4 linked regions of the Mus musculus genome follow. The protein of the gene in region 3 binds, or shares a complex with, the protein of the main gene of each other region. Links are inferred from orthologs where the notes say so. Each region holds a gene or a part of one and is shown on either strand. Other genes may lie near its edges. The genes, in order: Mta1, Mta2, Cdk2ap2 and Mta3.

Region 1 (5,018 bases), on a different chromosome or scaffold from region 3:
GTTATGTACAGTGCATTAGCCCTGAGCCCCCCCCCCCCACGCCTAACCCTCACCGTGGCCCACAATGCTTTCCTGAGCGCCATTTACTCCACTCCACAGAATGCACCTCAAAGAGGACGCCGACTTGGCGGCCATAGACTTCCACCGACAAAGTAACCCGCCGTGCTCAGACTCAACCAGAACTCCCAGTCAGCTCCTTTTCACTGCCCCAACTGTGGCAGGGACAGGAGTCCCATCAGGGACACAACCTTTTGTCCTCTGGCCTTGGGGTAATGTCTAAGAACTCCCTCTTCACAGACCTTAGATAAGCAAAGGCAAGCCCTTAGTCACAGATGCCACAAAGAGGCACCTTCCTCAGCACCGCAATGCCCCACGGCTTATGTGGTCTTGGCTTCAGCTTGGGCTTGTGGGAGGGAATCCAAGCGAGCAGGGAGGTACACGGAGGGAGGCCTGGCACTTCAGGAACAAGCATGACCGCCTTGTTCAAGGATAGTCATGATGTTCCTGGGTGACTGAAGAGGTTGGACAATGGGGGACACACTGAGGACCCCTACAAGAATTGGAAAGGATCCCTACACAGGGGTGCAGGGAAGGGCTCACATAGAAGGACCCAAGGCAACCTTGTGAGAAACTCCCAAGGAGCCAGTCCTAGGAGGGCTCACCTTGTCAGGTATGTGAGAGGTCTCTGGAGGTGACCTGGGGTTGCTGAAGACTAGGTGAGCATGGAGCTTGGCGGGGGTGGGGGGAGGGCAGGGAAAGGGTCACCAATGGGTGCTGAGGGCCAGGAGGGAATGGGCCTGGAGAGTGCTGGAGAGTGCCACTGGAGGATGCCCGAGTCATTTGGGAGGGGTCGTGGAGAGCCTCCCAGGTAAGCTGAAAGACCATGTAAGAGGGCCATCCAGGGATGTCGAGGACCACTGAGGGTTAAAGAAGGGCCACCCAGTGGGTGCCGAGGTCCAGGCGGGCGTGGGCCTGGAGAGTGCCACTGGAGGATGCCAAGTATCATTCCGGAGGGGTCGCAGGAGGGCCATCAATGATGTGGAGGGCCAGCCACTCTAGGCGGGTTGCAGGAGTGCGTCCCAGGGACGCAGGGTGTGGGCCTGCCGAGGAGGACCACCTGGGGATGCCAAGGGCCACTCCAGCAGTGGCTTCGAAGGACCTCCAAGGGATGAGCAGCTGACCCAGGGATGCCGAGGACCACTTTGGAGAGGATGCAGGAGGGCCACTCGGGATGCCAGGGCCACGAAAGCGTGGGGCTCCGGATGGCCACCCGGGGATGCTGAGAGCCAGGCAGGAGGGGTCGTGGGAGGGCGATCCGGGGATGCCGAGGACCAGGCGAGCTAAGGGCTCAGAAGGGCCACTCGGCCAGGGGCACGCGGGCCGGCGCGGCGCGGGGTCGGGTAACGGCCCGCGCGGTGGGCGGCGGCGCCCGAGGCCCCTCCCCGCCGCCCGCGGCCGCTCCTCCTCTTCCTCTCCCGCCCGCGCCGCGGCCCTCCCGTCCCTGCGCGGCCTCGGCGGCCTCGGAGGCGGCGGCGGCGGCGGCGGCGGAGCAGCGCGGTCCCTTTAAACCGCCCGCCGGCGCCCCCGCGCCCGCCCCCGCCCCGGCCCGCGCCCGGCCCGCCGCCCGCGCTCGCGCCCCGCGCCCCGCGGCCCCGCCGCCGGCCCGGACATGGCCGCCAACATGTACAGGGTCGGAGGTAAGGCCCCGCCACGGCCTTTATGCGCCGCGGGCCCACCGCCCGCGCCTCCCGGCCCCGCCGCGGCCTCCGCGCCTCCCCCACGCCGCCCTCGCGCGCGGCCCGCGCCCCTCCCCCCCGTCCCGCCCCCGTCGCGCTCGCGCCCCGCCCGCGAGGCTCGGTTCTGGTCTCCGGTGCTCGTCCCGGCCCAAAATGGCCCCTGGGCTGCCGGTGCCGGGGCGCGCGCGCGCGGGGCGCCGAGCGGCGCTGGGAGGGGGCTATGCCCACCTGTTGGGGACCGGGGGTGGCCCGCGGGACGCAGGCGGAGTAGCGGCGAGTGGCCAGGGTGGCCAGGGCATCCCGGGGGCCGGCGGGCCCGGCGGCGGGAGGCCTGGGCCTGGGTCCGGGCCGGAGCCCCTGAGCAGGAGCACGTGCCTCTGGAGCTCTGGCTGCGGTCCCGCGAGCAGGAGTTTCGGGGTCTGGGGGGCAAGCGGTCTCCTCAGGGGGCCGTGCAGGGCCCGCTAGGTGTGCAGGCACCGTGAGTCCTGTTGCAGGGGCCACGAGCCCGTCCCAGCCGAGGGCTTTCCTTAGCAGGGATTCCTGGGGGGGAGGGTTGGCTACAGCAGGGGGCCTACATCCCAAGTGCAGGTCTGAATCACCCCAAACTTTTCTCTGCCTTACTGCTCACCCCTGCCTAGCAAGGAGGCACTTTCCTGGCCTTTGGAAGGCCAGAGGTCCCTACTGACCTGGGGCCATGAGAGCCTGTCTGCCCGGGCTGGTCCCCCAGTTGTTGGGCCCTGGGAAGAAGCCCTTTGCCCAGTTTGTGTATGTGTGTGTGTGACCAGGATACTCCGGAATGGCCTTGCACACATCCAGGCCATGCTGACCCTTATAGTTATCCCATAGCCTTCTTCTGCTCTCTCTCTGGACTTGGAGACCCTCCTGGTCACAGCCTAAATGTGGATGAGTCTGCTGCTGTCCCCCACTAGCAAACTTGGGCTTTGCTGTGAGAGTGTGCTTGAGTGCAAGACCACCCCGAAACACCCATCAACCACTCCTACGGAAGACCCCGACCCCTGAGTGCCTAGGTCATTTCCTTCCATCTCACACCAGCGGGACCCAGCCAGCTCAGTTCTGTGGCTTGGGGCACAGGGGTGCAGCTATCTCCACACGGATGGCTCATCCTCCCACAGCAGGCCTCCCACAGCAGGGGCCTCTCAGGGAATCCCTGATCTCACACCTTTGCTCTCTGCCAGGACCTGCCACAGGTCATACAGCCTGGGGTCATATGAGGAGGGGCTGGTCTGTGAGGATTCAGCCTTGCCAGCCCCAGAGGGAGTGGGCCAGGTCACTGGATGCTATAGGCTTACTGGCCTGCTTTCCAGGGCAGAGGCTAGCTCCTGGCTCCCCAGGGGGCCCCCTTCCAGGTGTTGCCCCTTATTCTGCCCAGTGAACCATTTTTGCAAGGATCCCCCTTCCTGTTCACCATGGTTCCTGCTGATATGGCTGCTGCTTCCTCGGGTTCTACCTCTAGTTCCCTCATTTCAGAGGTTCTCCTTTGCCCGTGAAAGGCTCCCATTATCCTGGTCCCTGACCCTGCTCTCTATCTGGACTTGGAGCCCCTCCTCCTGGTCACAGACTAAATGTGGATGAATCTCTTCCCCCACTAGCAAAACTGGGCTCTGCTGAGAGTGTGCTGGAGTGGAAGACCACCCTGAAACACCCATCACCACTCCTGTATGACCCTGACCCCTGGGCCACCTCCACCCCCCACCCCTCCTGGTTCTCATGGTTTCTGGCCCATGATGGCATGTCATATGCTGAAGAAATGAATAAATAGCATGAATAAATAGCAAAAGAGTGAAGGTCTGGGCTCCTGCATCTGACTCAGGCAGTGGGAGGTGGTGAGAGCGTGGAAGGTGGTCTGCAGGGCACTGAGGTCTCAGCCCGTTTCCAAGAGTCCCACAGCTGCCTGCCTGGCGGAGGGGCTATAGCCAAGGCCCTAGCAATCTGGTGAGGTCCTAGACTGGCTCATCTGTACCTGTTTCCCCACGGCGTGGCTAGAGATCCATCCCTGTTTTCATCCTGTGTCCTATATCTGCTCCTCCAGGACATAGCTGGTATCCTGGAGTGTCTGAGGCCCCATGAGGATAGGTGGCTGGACCCTGAGCCTGTGTGTCAAGCAAGTATGTATGACTAAGGAGTAGGGATAGGTCTGTGTTCCTATGTATATGTTGGCTGCCAAGCGTGGTCTGGGGTACCATCTGTATTGCCTGTAGTGCTTTGCAGGGTAGTGGTCCCCAGAGGGTATCCATGGCAGGTGAAGGGTCAGCCCCTAAAGGACTTTTTGGATAGGGAACTCTAGTGCCATCCTGGGAGCCCCAGCACGGCCTTGCAATGGTGCTCTGGGTGGTGGCTGTTGGCTTCCTGCCCCAGTCACTGCTTGCCAGATTCTCAGGCCCCCAGATGAGAGAGGACACACTGTGGCTCCCTGAGCAGGCCTTGGTTCAGTCTGTTGTCTGGGCTCTGGCCCCCTGGGAAATGTGTTCTGAATAGTGGCTGGTGGAGACCTAGGTTGGGGTATCTCTGCCCCCACCCCACCCCCTTCTTGGCACACGTGTCAGGTTTAAGTTTCAGGAAAACTGCCTTGCCCCAGTGTCCCAACTGTGAAGGCATGTGGACAGGAAAGATTGGGATTTGCAGCACAATGTTTGGGCGTCCTGTACTCCCTGGCAAGCTTGTCTGGAAGACGTGTTAGGGTGGGTTAGGCCGGTGAAAGTATGGGGGAGGAGGTTGCAGGAGCCCCAGAACACTTGGGCCAAGAGGTCAGCCAGGGTGGAAAGATAGACTGCATCTTAAGAGGTGGGCTTGCCAGGCTCCTGCCAGCGCCTGAGAGCAGGGGTGGGTGTTGGGTGAGGGTTTGAGAGGCTGTCCCTACTGAGAGCTTGGATTAAGGCTGAGGACATCCTAGGGCAGGCACCTGTGTTTCTTACCTGTGTGTCTGTTGTAAAATTAGGTGGCATTTTTGAACAGAGGAACAGAGATTGCTTTGAGTCTCCCCACGTCACAGCTGCTTCTACGTGGGAGCTTTTTTTTTTTTTTTTTTCTTTTGGTTTTTTTGGAACTCACTTTGTAGACCAGGCTGGCCTCAAACTCAGAAATCCACCTGCCTCTGCCTCCCAAGTGCTGGGATTAAAGGCGTGCACCACCTCCACCTGGCTACGTGGGAGCTTTTTGTCTTTAATTGAAGGGCTATGGCCATTCCCTTTGCAGTATTTTTTTCCTCTCACCGCGAGAAGTTTAACCCGTATTCTTTTGAGTGGCTTTGTGCTTGTGGAACGT
Region 2 (4,554 bases), about 4.8 Mb from region 3:
GTCTGCGGAGGGAGGCCTGTTGTTACACGTTGGGGTTGGAAGCAGGGCGGGCAGACCATGATAAGGAAAGCCAAAATGAGGCTTATGTGTGTGAGTGGAGAGATATTTAGATAGGAAATGAAAAGAGCTTTAGAGAAGCAGGCACTCGGGGACATTTTGGGTACTTTGGGACAGTGGTTAGTGAGTGATGGCCAAGGTGAAGAGGAAGATACTGTTTTGAGAAGTCTGCATAACAGAGAGGCTTATGCTGTAGTCTGGAGGCGATGCCAAAACATTAATAGAGATGATAAGCTAGGAGCAGTTCTCTTGGACTTCCCTGCCTTCACCATTTTTCCTCTCCATTCCAGTTAGTGTCATTTTTACTTATTTTTGCTTTGTCTGCATTTTCTCTATGATCTTTATATTGTAATTTTTTTTCACTTAGTTTTATCTTTTTTCTTTCCTTTTTTTTTTTTTTTTTTCTTTGTCAGGGTTTCTCTGTGTAGCCCTGGCTGTCCTGGAACTCACTCTGTAAATCAGGCTGGCCTTGAACATAGAAATCTACCTGCCTCTGCCTCCCTGGTGCTGGGATTAAAGGCGTGTGCCAGCACTACCCGCATCACTTAGTTTTCTTTTAACTCCCTTTTTCCCTCCTAGATTCTTTTTCAGGCTGCAGTCATGAAAGGGTTAATGAACTGGGCCTACCAAGTTTCCTGGCCCTTTGGGGTTTCCGGCTCCATCTGGCAGGGGCTGACCTTGGCCTTATCCAATCAGAAGGGGTAGGGGTGTGGTTCTTTTTGCCCTACCTCTGGGTTTTCCTAGAGCACAGAGAGACACGGACACCCCCACCCCAAATCTGTACCCCCATTTTTCAGGGGAACAATGCACCGATGAGCATGTGCCTGAGGTTTCTGTCTTCTACTTTGGTTGGCACTTAGCCAGGTTAACTGTTTCTACGGAGATTTCAGTGCAGGCCTCTTGGTGCCTCTTGGTGAGGAAGGTGTTGGCACTGGTTTCAGAGTTGCCCTTCTTGAAAGCCCACAAACTATTATTAGCCAAGTAGAAAGAGAAGGAGCATTAGGTTGCATGTGATGTTTCAGACACAGCAAGGAGTCCTGAAGTATGAAGAGGAGCTGGTAAATAAACAGCGACCATGTGTGCTATTTTTACTTCTTCTTAACTGGATTTTAGGACCTCGGACTGGTTGTGCAAGAAAGAGCTAAATATGATGTCACACTGTATTATGGCTCTGTTTGTGCTTTCTGCGTGTTGGCAGCTAGGGTTGGGTGCATTTCTGTGGTATCCTTATACTCTCACAGTATAAGGATGGGATAATTCCTTTGACGGAATTAAAGAGAGGATGGAACATCTACACTGAGGTGTAAGGCCGAAAGGGGGGGCTGGTAGGATAAGAGTGAGCTGCCCGAGGAAAGCAGTGCTGGGCAGCAGCTGAGGTAGGCTCTCCTTTACCAGACTAGCTAGCTGGCTAAGGTACCTGTTTCTGAATTAGTTTATGACTTGGTTTTTCCTCACTATTCTAGGGGAGTTTGAGGAGGAATCAAAACAGCCAGGGGTCTCCGAGCAGCAGAGACATCAACTGAAGCACCGAGAGCTTTTTCTTTCTCGGCAGTTTGAATCATTACCAGCCACCCACATAAGGTATAGGACGATCAGGGTCACTGTGGTCTATGTGCCCTTGTTTAGAAGATGGAGAGAAGGGGGTGGTGTATTGGAGATGGCAGGTAAGGAGGGCTGCTCATCCAGGACTTTTGGGTTTGTCCTTTTTCTTAGGGGGAAGTGCAGCGTGACTCTCTTGAACGAGACAGACATCTTAAACCAGTATCTAGACAAGGAGGTGAGGAGCTGTTGGGATAAGAGGGAGGTGAGAGAATGTTGCCCCTAAAGGCAAGTGAGGTGGTAAAGGGGCCACGGACCTCACAGCCGTGTGTGTGTGTGTGTGTGTGTGTCTGTGTGTCTGTGTGTGTCTGTGTCTGGAGAGACCTTACTGTCCATGCAGATTCCTTCCCACTAACCTCCTCTCTTCCTCTTCAGGACTGCTTTTTTTACTCACTGGTGTTTGATCCTGTGCAGAAGACACTTCTGGCTGATCAAGGGGAGATCAGAGTTGGTTGCAAATTCCAAGCTGAGATCCCAGATCGTTTGGCAGAGGGTAAGCAACAGAACAAGAAGTGCTTGAACATGAAAGTTTCTGTTGATAGCTTGATTTGGGGTACCAGTGTGGAATCTGCTAGGTGTTGTGTTGTGGCTCTGACAGGGTGAGACTTAGGAACATGAGAGAGACAAGTGGGCACAGCTGGGAGGGGAGTTCTGAGGTCTGATAGACTCCAAGCAGAGCAGAGGAAAAAGAGCCATTGTGAGTGACTATGAGTTATTTCCCTCTCTCCCTCCGTGGTGATTCTGTTGTTTCCTCAGGAGAATCAGATAATCGAAACCAACAGAAGATGGAGATGAAAGTCTGGGACCCAGACAACCCTCTCACAGACCGGCAGATTGATCAGTTTCTCGTGGTGGCCCGGTGAGGGTGGGTGGATCAGGAAGGTGGGCTGGGGAGGAATGGACTGAGTTCTGCGTCTCATCCAATTTCTTTCTTTCTTTCTTTCTTTCTTTCTTTCTTTCTTTCTTTCTTTCTTTCTTTCTCTCTCTCTCTCTCTCTCTCTCTCTCTCTCTTTCTTTCTTTCTTTTTTTTTTTTTTTAAAGTGGGCTTTGTTTTAGGCCTGGGCATTTTCTTTTTCTAATTAGTTCCTGAACCTGCTTGAATTTTGAAGGGGAGAACCCTTCTTGACTTCTCAATCTCTCTTTAGAGCTGTGGGAACCTTCGCGAGAGCCCTAGACTGCAGCAGCTCAATTCGGCAGCCAAGCTTGCACATGAGTGCAGCTGCTGCGTCCCGAGATATCACTCTGGTAAGTGCCAGCTGATAGATAGTTGGGCGTGTTGAGGCAGGAGAGGAGGGCGGGAGTCCTGAAGAAGGTGCTTAAAGAGTAGCAAGTCCTTAGCTTTGTTCTATATTTTTGGTAGTTCCATGCCATGGATACCTTGCAAAGGAATGGCTATGACTTGGCCAAGGCTATGTCAACCCTAGTACCACAGGGAGGCCCGGTGCTCTGTCGGGATGAGATGGAGGAATGGTCTGCTTCTGAAGCCATGCTGTTTGAAGAGGCTCTGGAGAAGTACGGGAAGGATTTCAATGATATCCGCCAGGACTTTGTAAGTGAACAGGACTAGGAGGAGGGAGAACGACGATGGAGCTAGGATCACATGCCATCTCATCCTGTTTGCTGTTCTTTTTAGCTACCCTGGAAGTCACTTGCAAGCATAGTCCAGTTTTATTACATGTGGAAAACCACAGACCGGTATATTCAGCAGGTATGGGTCAGGCTGGCTGGGAGGCTGGACCAGAGGCTATCTGCTTACCTCTCTGCTGTTTCTTTTGTTTGATTTCAATTTGTACTGAGATGCTCTGAATTTCTTTCTGTTTTTCTCCTTCTTACAGAAAAGATTGAAAGCTGCTGAAGCAGACAGCAAACTGAAACAGGTCTACATCCCCACTTAGTAAGTGTGGCAGAAAGGGAGATGGTGTCTTCCTTAATGATTGGGGGTAACCAGGAAGCAGAAGCAATTGTAGAAGCTGTAGCTCAGTGAGAAGCATGGGCTTAGTATGCACAAGGCTGTAGGCTTAATCCCCAGAACTCCAGAGAGTCGGAAATAGAAAGTAAAGTGGTGGTAAGAGAGACACAAGTGGGTTGTTTTCTTAACTAGCTTCTGTCTTCTCCTCTTGTTTCGTTCATTAGTACCAAGCCAAACCCTAACCAGATCATTTCTGTGGGTTCAAAACCTGGCATGAATGGGGCTGGATTCCAGAAGGGCCTGACTTGTGAGAGCTGCCACAGTGAGTTCCAAGGGGGGACAGGGTTGCTGGGGATAGGTGGTCCTAGGGTGGCTTATTCTCTGTCCTGGGAATTTGAGGATCTTGGGTGGCATATTTCCTGCCAGCAAATTTCCCTTCTCTCTCTACTCTTGTAGCCACACAGTCTGCCCAGTGGTATGCCTGGGGACCCCCTAACATGCAGTGCCGACTTTGTGCTTCCTGTTGGATTTATTGGAAGAAATACGGGGGACTGAAGACCCCTACCCAACTTGAAGGGGCTGCTCGGGGCACCACAGTAAGAATCAGTGGGTGGGAACTTGGCATGGTGACTGAGGCAGGTGGGTGAGTTAGAGGCCAGTCTGGTATACAAAGCAAGCTCCAGGTTAGCTGGGGCTACATACTTAGATATTGTCTCAACAAATAGAAAAGAATCACTGATGCCAGGCGTGGTGGCGCACGCCTTTAATCCCAGCACTCGGGAGGCAGAGGCAGGCGAATTTCTGAGTTTGAGGCCAGCCTGGTCTACAAAGTGAGTTCCAGGACAGCCAGGGCTACACAGAGAAACCCTGTCTCGAAAAAACAAACAAACAAAAAAGAATAACTGCAAGAACACGTGGGGATGGGGAGAGTAGTGGTCCTATGAGTGCTTTAGGCAAAGGCCAGAAAACCTTTGACCTCTTCTTCCATG
Region 3 (4,635 bases):
CCGCCCGCGGCGCAGCAAGGCTGGCCCCTGCTTTCCTTCTCCAAGACAGACGGGGAAGAGGCCGGGCCCCAAATTCCAGTTCTTTATTTCTGTGCTGTCTGGACACCCCAAGAATTCTTGGTTTCATTTCCCACCCAGGCCCAGTCAGGGCAGCCCTCCTGTGTGCTTTGAAGAGGTGGGATTTGACCTAGGGGGAGCCCAGGTTAGAGGAAATGTTGTACCCCAAAGTTAGCCAGAATTTGGAAGTTCTCAATTGCCTCTGCCTAGGTTGGCATTTCACGGTTACTTAGCTACATGCCCAGGTAGAGGCCATCCCCTTAATGAAGCCCAAGTCCTTCCCTACTATGTTTGCTAGGTTCTCAAATTTGGACACCCATCTAACTGCTCCGACTCTGTACAAAGGCCGAGACACCCGGGGCTGGCTCATGGAGCCACACCCAGCCTTGTGGAAGTTGTCAGGACAGTGGATAGCAGCATCAAGCCAAGGTGCTGGGGGTGGGGGGGAAGGAGCCTCTAACTGCCTCCCTTAGGAGTCAGGGACCCGGTGTATTTAGAGCCTTCCAAGGATGGTTTTAAAGCGGAGCTGGTGTAGGGGCATTAGGACGTTCACGGGAGAGGCTTAAGTGAACTGGTATTTCCACCCTGCCAGGCATGCCTGCCAATCTACAGGAAGGGCCCTTTAGGCTCCGGCTGTCCAATAGTGCCTCCAGCTGTGAAGGCAGCCAAGCCCTACGCTGCCCCCTGGTGGCACCTCCTTATGCAGACATCATTGGTGTTCTGTCTGGCCTTCAGCTGCAAGGCGCAGAGCTGGAGGTAGCAATGGACAAGATGGGAAGGCAAAGCTCGGTTCAAGCGCCCTTCCCAGTTCCTGCTCTGCCCTTCCCCTCTGCCCACTCAGGCTTCCCCAGAGGAACCACACACAGAAAGGCTGAGAGAATGACTCCAAAGCATCTTTTATTTATACAAAAAGGACATATTTAGTAAAAGACACACCAAAAAAAGAGTCGGCTGTGGCCCCAGAGATGAGGCAGGAAGGTCTTCTGCACTCCTGTTGAAGAGGCAGGAGGTGGCCTGGGCTAAGAGTTAAGGAGTAAGTGCTGTGTGGTGGGGCCACAGAGAGGAGCAAGCTCCCGTCAGATCAGCACTGTGAGCAGGTCATGGAAGGGACTCCCAGTGGCCTCCCAGCACTCCCACAGAGGGAGGAGACCAGTTTGTACAGCCAACTGGACGAAGATCTGCTACCTGGTTCCTGGAGGGTGCCCACTAAGGGACACAGGACAGGAAGCCCAGGATAGGAAGCAACTTGGGGCGCGAAGGCCAGGGAGAAGCAGGCGCTCTGCAGTGGCCAGAAAGGTCCCGGCGAGGAGGTCAAGGTGCTTCCTGTTACGTGCGGGCATTGCGTTCTGTCTCTGCCAAGCACTCTCTGACTAGTGCCCGAGCGTGGATGATGCCTGGGGTGCGGTGAGGATGGGGAAGTAATAAACAGGGCCCCAGAAACAGTCCACAGCCACCCTTCAGAGCAGACACTCCCCCACCGCTCCATGGTTCAGCAAGAGCACCTCTAATCTAATGAGGATGGATGGGATTAAGGGTTGGCTAATCCGAGTTCCCAGGCACCTTCTTGGAAACAGACTCATTTGAAAATGGAAAAGTTCATTTAAAACCCCTCCTTAGGTACACGTTCTGTTCCAATCGAGGCTGGCCCAAATGTCCTGTCCTGACTCTAGATATCCTCCATCCTTACTGAACTGTCTTAAAGTTCAGTGTCTGTGTCCTGGGCAGAGCAAGGGCAGGCCTGTGGCTTCACTTACCTCTCTTCAGGCGCTCCATGGCACTCTTGCTACCAGCATAGGTGGGCCGGATCTCTTTGCCCATCTCCTCTATGACAGACAGCAGGTCCGTGTAGGTGCTCTGAGAGCCCTGGGAACCAGGTGGCTTCATCGCCTGTGTCAAAAGAAAATACAGACGTGATCTCAGACCCCGAGGGGATCTCCTGTCCTCAGCCATAAGCAAGCTCTTGGCCACACTCACCTGTACATACCCCATGGAGGGCGGACCAAAGTCGTTAAACAGCGGTCTGAAAGGTGCGGCAGCTCCTGGCACTGAGCCCGATGGCGATGGGACACTCCCGGCTGCAACGACACCAGCAAGAGGTCAGAGTGTGACAAGGGCCTCGTCACAGATTTCCAAGCCCAGGACTGTTCCCTTGACTAACCTCCAACGGCATGCTTCTTCATTCCACTCTGAACAACTTCGGAGACACACTCCTCCCCCCTGCGCTCCACCTACAAGCTCTACGTGACCACGCCCACTTCTCAGGCCAGCAAACTGAGGCTGAGCCAGGCTCGTCTAGCAGGCCCCGGATTGCAAAACTCGAGCGGTTTCTCTCCAAGACCTCGACTGCCCGGACAAGGCGAACAAGGATGGAGTTGGAGCCTCACCTGTAGGGACCGGGGTGCCTGGCCCGGGGGTGCTGGAGCCCGGGGTACTGCTGGGGGCGGGCGCGATAGGTTTGTAGGACATCCCAACTCCTCAGTGCGGCGGCCGCCAGCCGGCCGCTCCTCTGGGGTTGGCTGTCCGGCAGCTCAGCCGCACTCTGATTGGCAAGCGAGCTGCACGCCCCTGGTAAATAGAGCTCCGGCCGGAAGGGTGGGCGGGCACGATCGGTCCTCACTCTCGATTGGCGCGCTCAGCTGTCACTCGAGCCTCCTCATTGGCTGAATCTTGCCCCCGCAGGGCGCAACCGCTGCCGATTGGCCTCCACCTTCCGGACCTCGCACCTGTCTGCCCCGGATTGGGCGGTGACAGTCGTCCTCCTCAATTGGCGAGTTCGGGGCCCGGGGCCGGCGCGCTTTCAATCCGATTAGTCCCGAGGTCCAAGAGGCGGGGCCTCGGCAGCGGGCCAGTCTGGTCCCCGCGGTTTGCTCCGGTGGTGTGTGGCGGGCCGCCGAACACACTTCGTCCTCACCGCTTCGCGACTTCCCTCCGCTCAGAACTCCCAAGGCCACGGCTCCCACAGTGTGAGCACTCCGCCCTACCCCGAGCGTTTTACGTCACCTTTCACTGGTTCCGTGTCCCCCCCCCTTCGGCTGTGCGCATGTGCGCGCCTCAGGCCTGTATTTGTTCCCATGGCAACGGTTCCCTCACCAAAGTCATTACCAAGCTCCTTCTCTGGATTGGTTTGAATCTTCGGTCTAGGCAGGTGGGTCCAAGGCAGCCAACGACGCTGCTCGACACTGAACCCTAAGTCCCCTACTCTCTCCACAGACAATGATAGAGCATCATAGATCAAGAATTGCGTTAGGTCAAGTCAGGACCCTGGTCAAGACCCTTGGCTGGAATCTCAACACCTCATTAATGGTTTCCTCCTGGACTCTTTTTGGCGGGTGGGATGAGATTGAGACAAGGTCTCAAGTAGCCCAGTCAGAACTCGAACTCTCCGGGTAGGGGAGGGTGACCTTGAATTCCTGATGCTCTTGTCTCGGAAATGCTAAAGGATTACAGTCACACGCCAGTTTCTTGCCCTAATAGGTTTCCGTTTTCTCATGAAACATGAAGACAGTAATACCTGGAAAGTAAACTTGGAAGTGGGTAGAGAAATAGAGATGAGAGCCAGCCCCATATGGGTTGAAGCATGGTTGATTATTGTTCTGACGTCATTAATGAAACTCCCACCTGGGTCTGGCCATCTAGTTCCTATTTCCTTGAAATCAATTCACTTTAAAATTAAAATAAAACTATTTTATGTATACGAGTGTTTTGTCTGCATATATGTCTGCAGAACTGCTGCTTTAGCCCTCAACTCACTTTTTAAAAAAGCGACTGCAGAGATGGCTTAGCAGGTAAGAGGACAGGCTGCTCCTCCAGAGGACCCAGGTTAGAATTCTAAGCATTTACATAAAGTGCCTCAGAACCATCTGTAACTGCATTTCCAGGGGGCCCAATATCTCTTTCTGTTCTCAGTGGGCACCTAGCAAGCAGGTAGTACACAAACGTACAGTCAGAGAAAACACCCTAGACTTTTTTTTTTTTTTTTTTTCTGAGAAAGGGTCTCACTATCTAGCTCTAGCTAACCTGGAACTCAATATGTAGGCCAGGCTGGCCTTAAACTCACAGAGATCCTCTCTCTTCTTCCTGAATGCTTTGATTGAAGGCATGCACTACCACTCCCAGCTAAATAAATCTCCCTGTTTTTTTTTTTAAAGACTTATTTTATTTATTATATGTAAGTACACTGTAGCTGTCTTCAGACACCAGGAGAGGGAATCAGGTCTTGTTACAGATGGTTGTGAGCCACCATGTGGTTGCTGGGATTTGAACTCGGGACCTCTGGAAGAGCAATCAGTGCTCTTAACCGCTGAGCCATCTCTCCAGCCCATAAATCTCCTTTTAAAAGACTATTAAAAAACAAACCAAAAGGCTGAAGAGATAGTTCAGTGGTTAAGACTGACTGCTCTTCCAAAAGTTTTGAGTTCAATTCCTAGCAACCACATGGTGGCTCACAACCATCTGTAGTGGGATCCAGTGCCCTCTTCTGGTGTGTCTGAGGACAGCTACAGTGTTCTCAAGATATATAAAGTAAATAAATCTTTAAAAAAAACCCAAACAAATCTCAAATTAAAAACAAAAAAACAA
Region 4 (5,005 bases), on a different chromosome or scaffold from region 3:
GACAACTCCTACTTTGGCACAGCCCTTTAAATCAGCATCACCAGGCACTCCAACCCACAATACTAGGCCAATGTTTATTGTGCAACAAGGCCTGGGTGTAGTTTGGAATGCCTTGGCTTTCCTAAAAGAAGTTATGTGTTCATTGGGGAGAGTCAGTCAGGAAGATCTCGCTCTGTATCCCAAGCTGGCCACAAACTGGAGCGCCTCCAGCCTTTGCCTATGGAATACTAGGGTTACAGGTGTTTAGTACTATGAGGACCATCTATATTCAAAACCTCATAGAGGGTGTGAGGAACGTGAAAAGGGATCTATAGCTACTCAGCATGGGAAAACTAGCCACTTAAGAGCTTTCTGATGGGACAAGTGATCCTACACCTGTAATATAACCCAGCACTCAGGAGGCTGAGGCAGGAGGCTACAAGAGCCAGCCTGAACTGAGACCCGTATTAAAACAAGTAATGTTGGTGAGGTAGCTCAGTATAGCCAGGCCTGACTATCTGAGTTCAATCTCTACTCCTATGATAGACCTATACATATATATCTCATAGCATTCATGCCCTCACATGATAGATAGATAAATAGATGCATGGATGGATAGATAAGTAAATAAGTGTATTAAGAATTTAAAAACAAACCAACAAACATGAAAAGTTAGTTCTATAGTTAAATGACTAGCCTGTGCAAAGACCTGGCTTCAATCCCCATTAATGCAAAAAAAAAAAAAAACCAAAAAACCAAAAACGGGGATTGGGGCGAGGACGTGCTTTTTGACATAAAACTAGTTAGCTGACCAGCAACCCCAAGCTGTTAGACACGACCTCCTCCTTTTGATGGGGGGAAAACTGCGGATTGTGGAAACCCTGTTCTTCTACCGGCAAAGGAAGCCCTCTTGTGCTGAAGGCCTCCCCTGGTCAAAGCACACGCTGTACACAAAGCCTGTTTAGAGGCAGGGCTAGAGGATGTGTGTGTGTGTGTGTGTGTGTGGGGGGGGGGGTCGGTTTTGTTCAGCCCAGTTTTGGCACAGCCACGACTGACCTGCCAGTGTGGTCGGGGTGAGAAAGTCAGCTTCCAGTTCTTTTCATAGCTGGGTCTCAGACTTGAGCAAGCTGCAAGTACGTAGGGTCTTCTTGGCCCCAGGGCCTGTAGGCTCTAAAGCCACCAAACGTCCTCTCACCACGAGGGAGGGACGCAAACAAGCATCTGTCGCTTGCATTGGCTGCATCGGAGAGTTGTACCCAGAAGGGCGTTCGTGTGCTTGAGGTCACACATAGAGGGGTGTCCCTGGGGAACAGAAGCAGGAAAGGAGAACCTGTCCCAAGGTGGACAGGTGACGCGGGCGAGAGAGACGCTCGGAGTGGCTGAACCTCTGTCCCCACCCTGGTTCTTCCACAGCCCCTGACCCTGGTGTGCTACCCCGAGGCTAGTGCGGGTGGCCCCTGGGGTCTTCGGCCCCCCGCAGCCCGCCGCCCCGTTCCCGCCGTGCTCCGGCCTCCCGGGCCCGCTCGGCGTCGCTCTGCCGGCGCTGGGGGCGGGCACAGCCCCCTCCCTCGGTGTCCCCTCCCCGTCCCTCCCCCTCCCCCGTGGCGAGGCGGCGGCGGCGGCGGCAGCGGCGGCGGTCGAGGCTGAGGCGGCGGCGGCGGGCGGGGCTCGGCTCGGGCTCCGCGGGCGGGCGGGCGGACATGGCGGCCAACATGTACCGGGTCGGAGGTAGGAAGGCTCGGCCCTTCCCGGCCCGTCGGGGAGCGGGCGGTGGGAGCGGGGGTCCGGGCAGCGCACGCTTACTGCCAGCAGCCCGGGAGCCCGGGGCTGAGGGCGCCGCGGGCGGGGCGCAGGGGGATCCCCACCCCCACTCCCCTCCCCCACCGCTCCTGCCCGGCGTCTCGGGGCCAGGCCTCTTCTGGGGACACGCATCGGACACCCCCTTTACGAACGCCCCAAAGGGACAGAGCCCCTGCAAGCCCCCTAGCTGAGTGGTCTTTCCCTCGCGTGGCTTTTGGGCACGAGGGAGGGGGGCTTGAGCACCCCTCACCCCAAACCCCGGCTTCTGCCTCGGTGTTAGCGTGGGCTGGGGACGATGGTGGCCCAGGTGGGGGGCAGAGCTCGACAGGCCTGTTTGCAGAGCCCGGGCCCTGCACCGTCGCTGCTTCACCCCCCATTCCCTTCGGTTTCCCGTTCAGTCCCCCTGAGAGTGGGGCTGTGTGTGGGGCCAGGGAGCCGCAGCCCCAGGTAGGGAGTAGAGCTCAGCCTGGACGTTGGCTCTGCTGTCTGTCTTTCCAGCCTTCTGCAGAAGAGAGAGAAATAAGGTCAAACAAACTTTCCCTGCTCACGACGCCCTCCCTCCCTCCTTCCTGGTAAAATAATAATTCAGATAAGTGGCGTGTTTGTGAGTGAGACTTGCTCTTCCGTCTTTGCTCATTAGCCGAGCTCCTGATGGATGATGGTGGGGGAATGGCCTGGCTAAATGAGGCCACTTAGCAGCAGAGGGCTGGGAGAGAGCCGCCTAGGTAGACCGTGACTGTGCAGTCTAGTCTCTCAGGTAAACACATAGTGGGAAGTTTCCAGCCACTCTGTAGAGGAAAAATCCTGTACCTTTGGTTGAAAACTTGCCATGGTTTCTTTATAAGAAGGGTCTAAATGGAGTTGAATCAAATATAAAAAAAGGGGGGAAAAAAAACAACCCAACACCCAGCCCCTATTCCTCACCATCCCAGGTAGAGCAAGGAAAAGTTTGATACCTGCTTGCCCTTACACATTCTGCCTGCCGATTTTTTTTTTTAAGTTGATGTTTGAAATGAATTTGGGCTGTTAAGCCTTTCTTTTTCTCCTGATTTGTCTCAGGTCAACACTTTTATGTAAGAATCGTTGTTGAGGGCTGGTTGGATTGGAGGGATGAGGCGCTAGTGGGAGGCTGCGTTGATGAGCTCTGATACATAGTGATGAAGGGGTTTGCCTATCATGTTGTGGTGGGGTTGTTTGGTTGTTTGAGGCAAGGTGTCTACTTAGGCCTAGATGCCCTAGGATTCAGTCCTAGACCAGGCTGGCCTCACAGAGATCTGCTTGCCTCTGCTCCATAGGTGCTGGGATTTAAGACCTGTGCTTTTTGTTGTTGTTTGAGGCAAAGTCTTGCTATGTAGCACGAGGCTGGCCTCTGCTTTGTGATTCTCCTGCCTTTGTGTCCCACTCCCCCCAATTACAGCAAGCCATGCTTTTTTTTGTTTTTTTTTTTAAATTAAATAATTAATTCAAGGGTGACCACTGTGGCACATGCCAGTAAATTCAGCCTGTAAGTGTTGGGCCAGGAGGCTTAGGAGTTGAAGGCCAGTCTCAATTACTTCACCAGTTCTTGCCAGCCCGGACTGCTATTTTCAAAAAGAAAATGAAATGTAAGCAGGATGTGGTACGTGGTACATACCACTAATCTCCACTTGAGTGTGTGAGGCTGGGGGATGTTGAGTTAGTTCTAGATGAGCTTGGGCTACTTCGTCAGGGGTGGGAATTCTAGGACGGTGATAAACTTGGAACCGCTTACAGAGGCTGCCTTACAGTGGCTTGCCTACTTCCTAACGCATAGGGAATTGTAGCCCAAGAGATGGTGGCTCACCTTTAATCCCAGCTCTCCAGTCCTGGGCAGAGGCAGGCAGGTCTCTGCTGTGAGTTTGAGGCCAGTCTGGTGAACAAGGCAAGCTCTCTGAGACATGCCGAGCTATCTCATGTGACCCTGTCTAAAACAAAACGGAAAATAAACAAAAACAAGAAAAGGGCTCTGAGCTGTCAAATGTGAGCTCTTGGTTGAAAAGACCTGTGCGTTTTTTGTTTGCAGACTACGTTTATTTTGAGAATTCCTCCAGCAACCCGTACCTCATCAGACGGATAGAGGAGCTCAACAAGGTGAGTGAGCAGTGTGGCATCACCTGGCCAACACCGAAGCGCTTCCCCTTTAAGGGTTACTGGGTAAAGGGCCCGAGAGGTGATTTTTACTTTCAGTTCCAGGCTAATTACAGAGTTCTGCAGGCATCTGAATATTTGTTGGCTTCTTATAAAGATTTTTGACCCATGTTACGTTTGTTTCTTCAGATTGCTTTGAACCTTGAAGATCAGGCCAGTTGTGTGTAACTTGACTTCTGTTCATATTTAAGACTGTAGGCATGTTTCATATTTAAACATTAGGCATGTTTGTTTGAGCTAGGCTTACAATGACTTCCAAAAAAATCTCAATCCTCCTGCCTCAGTTTCCCAAGCGCTGTTTCACATCTGCTAGTGAATGAGTATATTCCTCCTCGAGCTTTAGAAGGAAGAATCTAATTTGGGCGTGGTGGTTCATGCCTAGAGTCAGGGGCATGGCAGCCCAGTGTCAGCCAGTCTCAGCCTCCACCCCTCCCCACAACACACAAAATTGTAAAATGAGTCGGCGGCGTGACAGGCACCTGATACCTAGTTTGAGTTTGTCCTGCGTTGTATCACTGAGACTGTCTTAAAAAAACAAAATGAGAGGCTGAGGAGATGACTTGCAAGCATGAGGACTTGAGTTCAATTCCCAGAATCTGAAAGAAAAACCGGTTTAGTGGCTCAGGCTGATAATCCTGCCCTGGGGCTTCCGCACCAGCCAACCAGGCTCTCCTACTTGGAGAGTTCCAAGCTAGCAAGAGAGACAGAACTCAAAAATGAAAGGAAAAGAAAATGAGCTGGCCAGAGCACACACCTTTCTTTAATTCTGGCACTAGGTAGGCAAAGGCAGAGACAGGTGGGTTTCTGAGTTCAAGGCCAGCCTGGTCTACAAGAGATCCAGGACAGCAGGGCTACACAGAGAAACCCTGTCTCAAAAAAATCCAAACCGAACAGGCAAACAAATGAACCAAAGTACTTGATGAATAGTAATGTTATATATTAGCATAAACCTTAGACAGTTTAGAGACTCATTAGTTCAACAATTGTTTACTTAATGCCTTTAACTATGTGCCAACCACTTATCCTAAAATACTTAAAATGTACTATTGACTGAAACAAA

Evidence for each region.
Region 1: Cdk2ap2 (region 3) and Mta1 share a complex: the UniProt entries of both Homo sapiens proteins name them as parts of the nucleosome remodeling and deacetylase (NuRD) repressor complex. The link is inferred for Mus musculus from reciprocal best matches to the Homo sapiens genes CDK2AP2 and MTA1.
Region 2: Cdk2ap2 (region 3) and Mta2 share a complex: the UniProt entries of both Homo sapiens proteins name them as parts of the nucleosome remodeling and deacetylase (NuRD) repressor complex. The link is inferred for Mus musculus from reciprocal best matches to the Homo sapiens genes CDK2AP2 and MTA2.
Region 4: Cdk2ap2 (region 3) and Mta3 share a complex: the UniProt entries of both Homo sapiens proteins name them as parts of the nucleosome remodeling and deacetylase (NuRD) repressor complex. The link is inferred for Mus musculus from reciprocal best matches to the Homo sapiens genes CDK2AP2 and MTA3.

Annotation. Positions count from the first base shown.
Region 1 is NC_000078.6:113,096,749-113,101,766, forward strand, and holds the start of Mta1 (metastasis-associated protein MTA1), read left to right. Parts: upstream 1-1,529; 5' UTR 1,530-1,669; coding exon 1,670-1,697; intron 1,698-3,621; exon of another isoform or gene 3,622-3,689; intron 3,690-3,786; exon of another isoform or gene 3,787-3,862; intron 3,863-5,018. UniProt on the Homo sapiens protein: Transcriptional coregulator which can act as both a transcriptional corepressor and coactivator. Acts as a component of the histone deacetylase NuRD complex which participates in the remodeling of chromatin.
Region 2 is NC_000085.6:8,944,236-8,948,789, forward strand, and holds part of Mta2 (metastasis-associated protein MTA2), read left to right. Parts: intron 1-1,520; coding exon 1,521-1,638; intron 1,639-1,770; coding exon 1,771-1,834; intron 1,835-2,031; coding exon 2,032-2,149; intron 2,150-2,412; coding exon 2,413-2,515; intron 2,516-2,801; coding exon 2,802-2,901; intron 2,902-3,016; coding exon 3,017-3,205; intron 3,206-3,289; coding exon 3,290-3,364; intron 3,365-3,491; coding exon 3,492-3,550; intron 3,551-3,789; coding exon 3,790-3,887; intron 3,888-4,021; coding exon 4,022-4,161; intron 4,162-4,554. UniProt on the Homo sapiens protein: May function as a transcriptional coregulator. Acts as a component of the histone deacetylase NuRD complex which participates in the remodeling of chromatin.
Region 3 is NC_000085.6:4,095,314-4,099,948, reverse strand, and holds Cdk2ap2 (cyclin-dependent kinase 2-associated protein 2), read right to left. Parts: upstream 2,599-4,635; 5' UTR 2,524-2,598; coding exon 2,442-2,523; exon of another isoform or gene 2,238-2,441; coding exon of another isoform or gene 2,216-2,237; intron 2,133-2,215; coding exon 2,032-2,132; intron 1,945-2,031; coding exon 1,812-1,944; intron 1,452-1,811; coding exon 1,384-1,451; 3' UTR 932-1,383; downstream 1-931. UniProt on the Homo sapiens protein: Acts as a component of the histone deacetylase NuRD complex which participates in the remodeling of chromatin.
Region 4 is NC_000083.6:83,704,579-83,709,583, forward strand, and holds the start of Mta3 (metastasis-associated protein MTA3), read left to right. Parts: upstream 1-1,605; 5' UTR 1,606-1,679; coding exon 1,680-1,707; intron 1,708-3,820; coding exon 3,821-3,888; intron 3,889-5,005. UniProt on the Homo sapiens protein: Acts as a component of the histone deacetylase NuRD complex which participates in the remodeling of chromatin.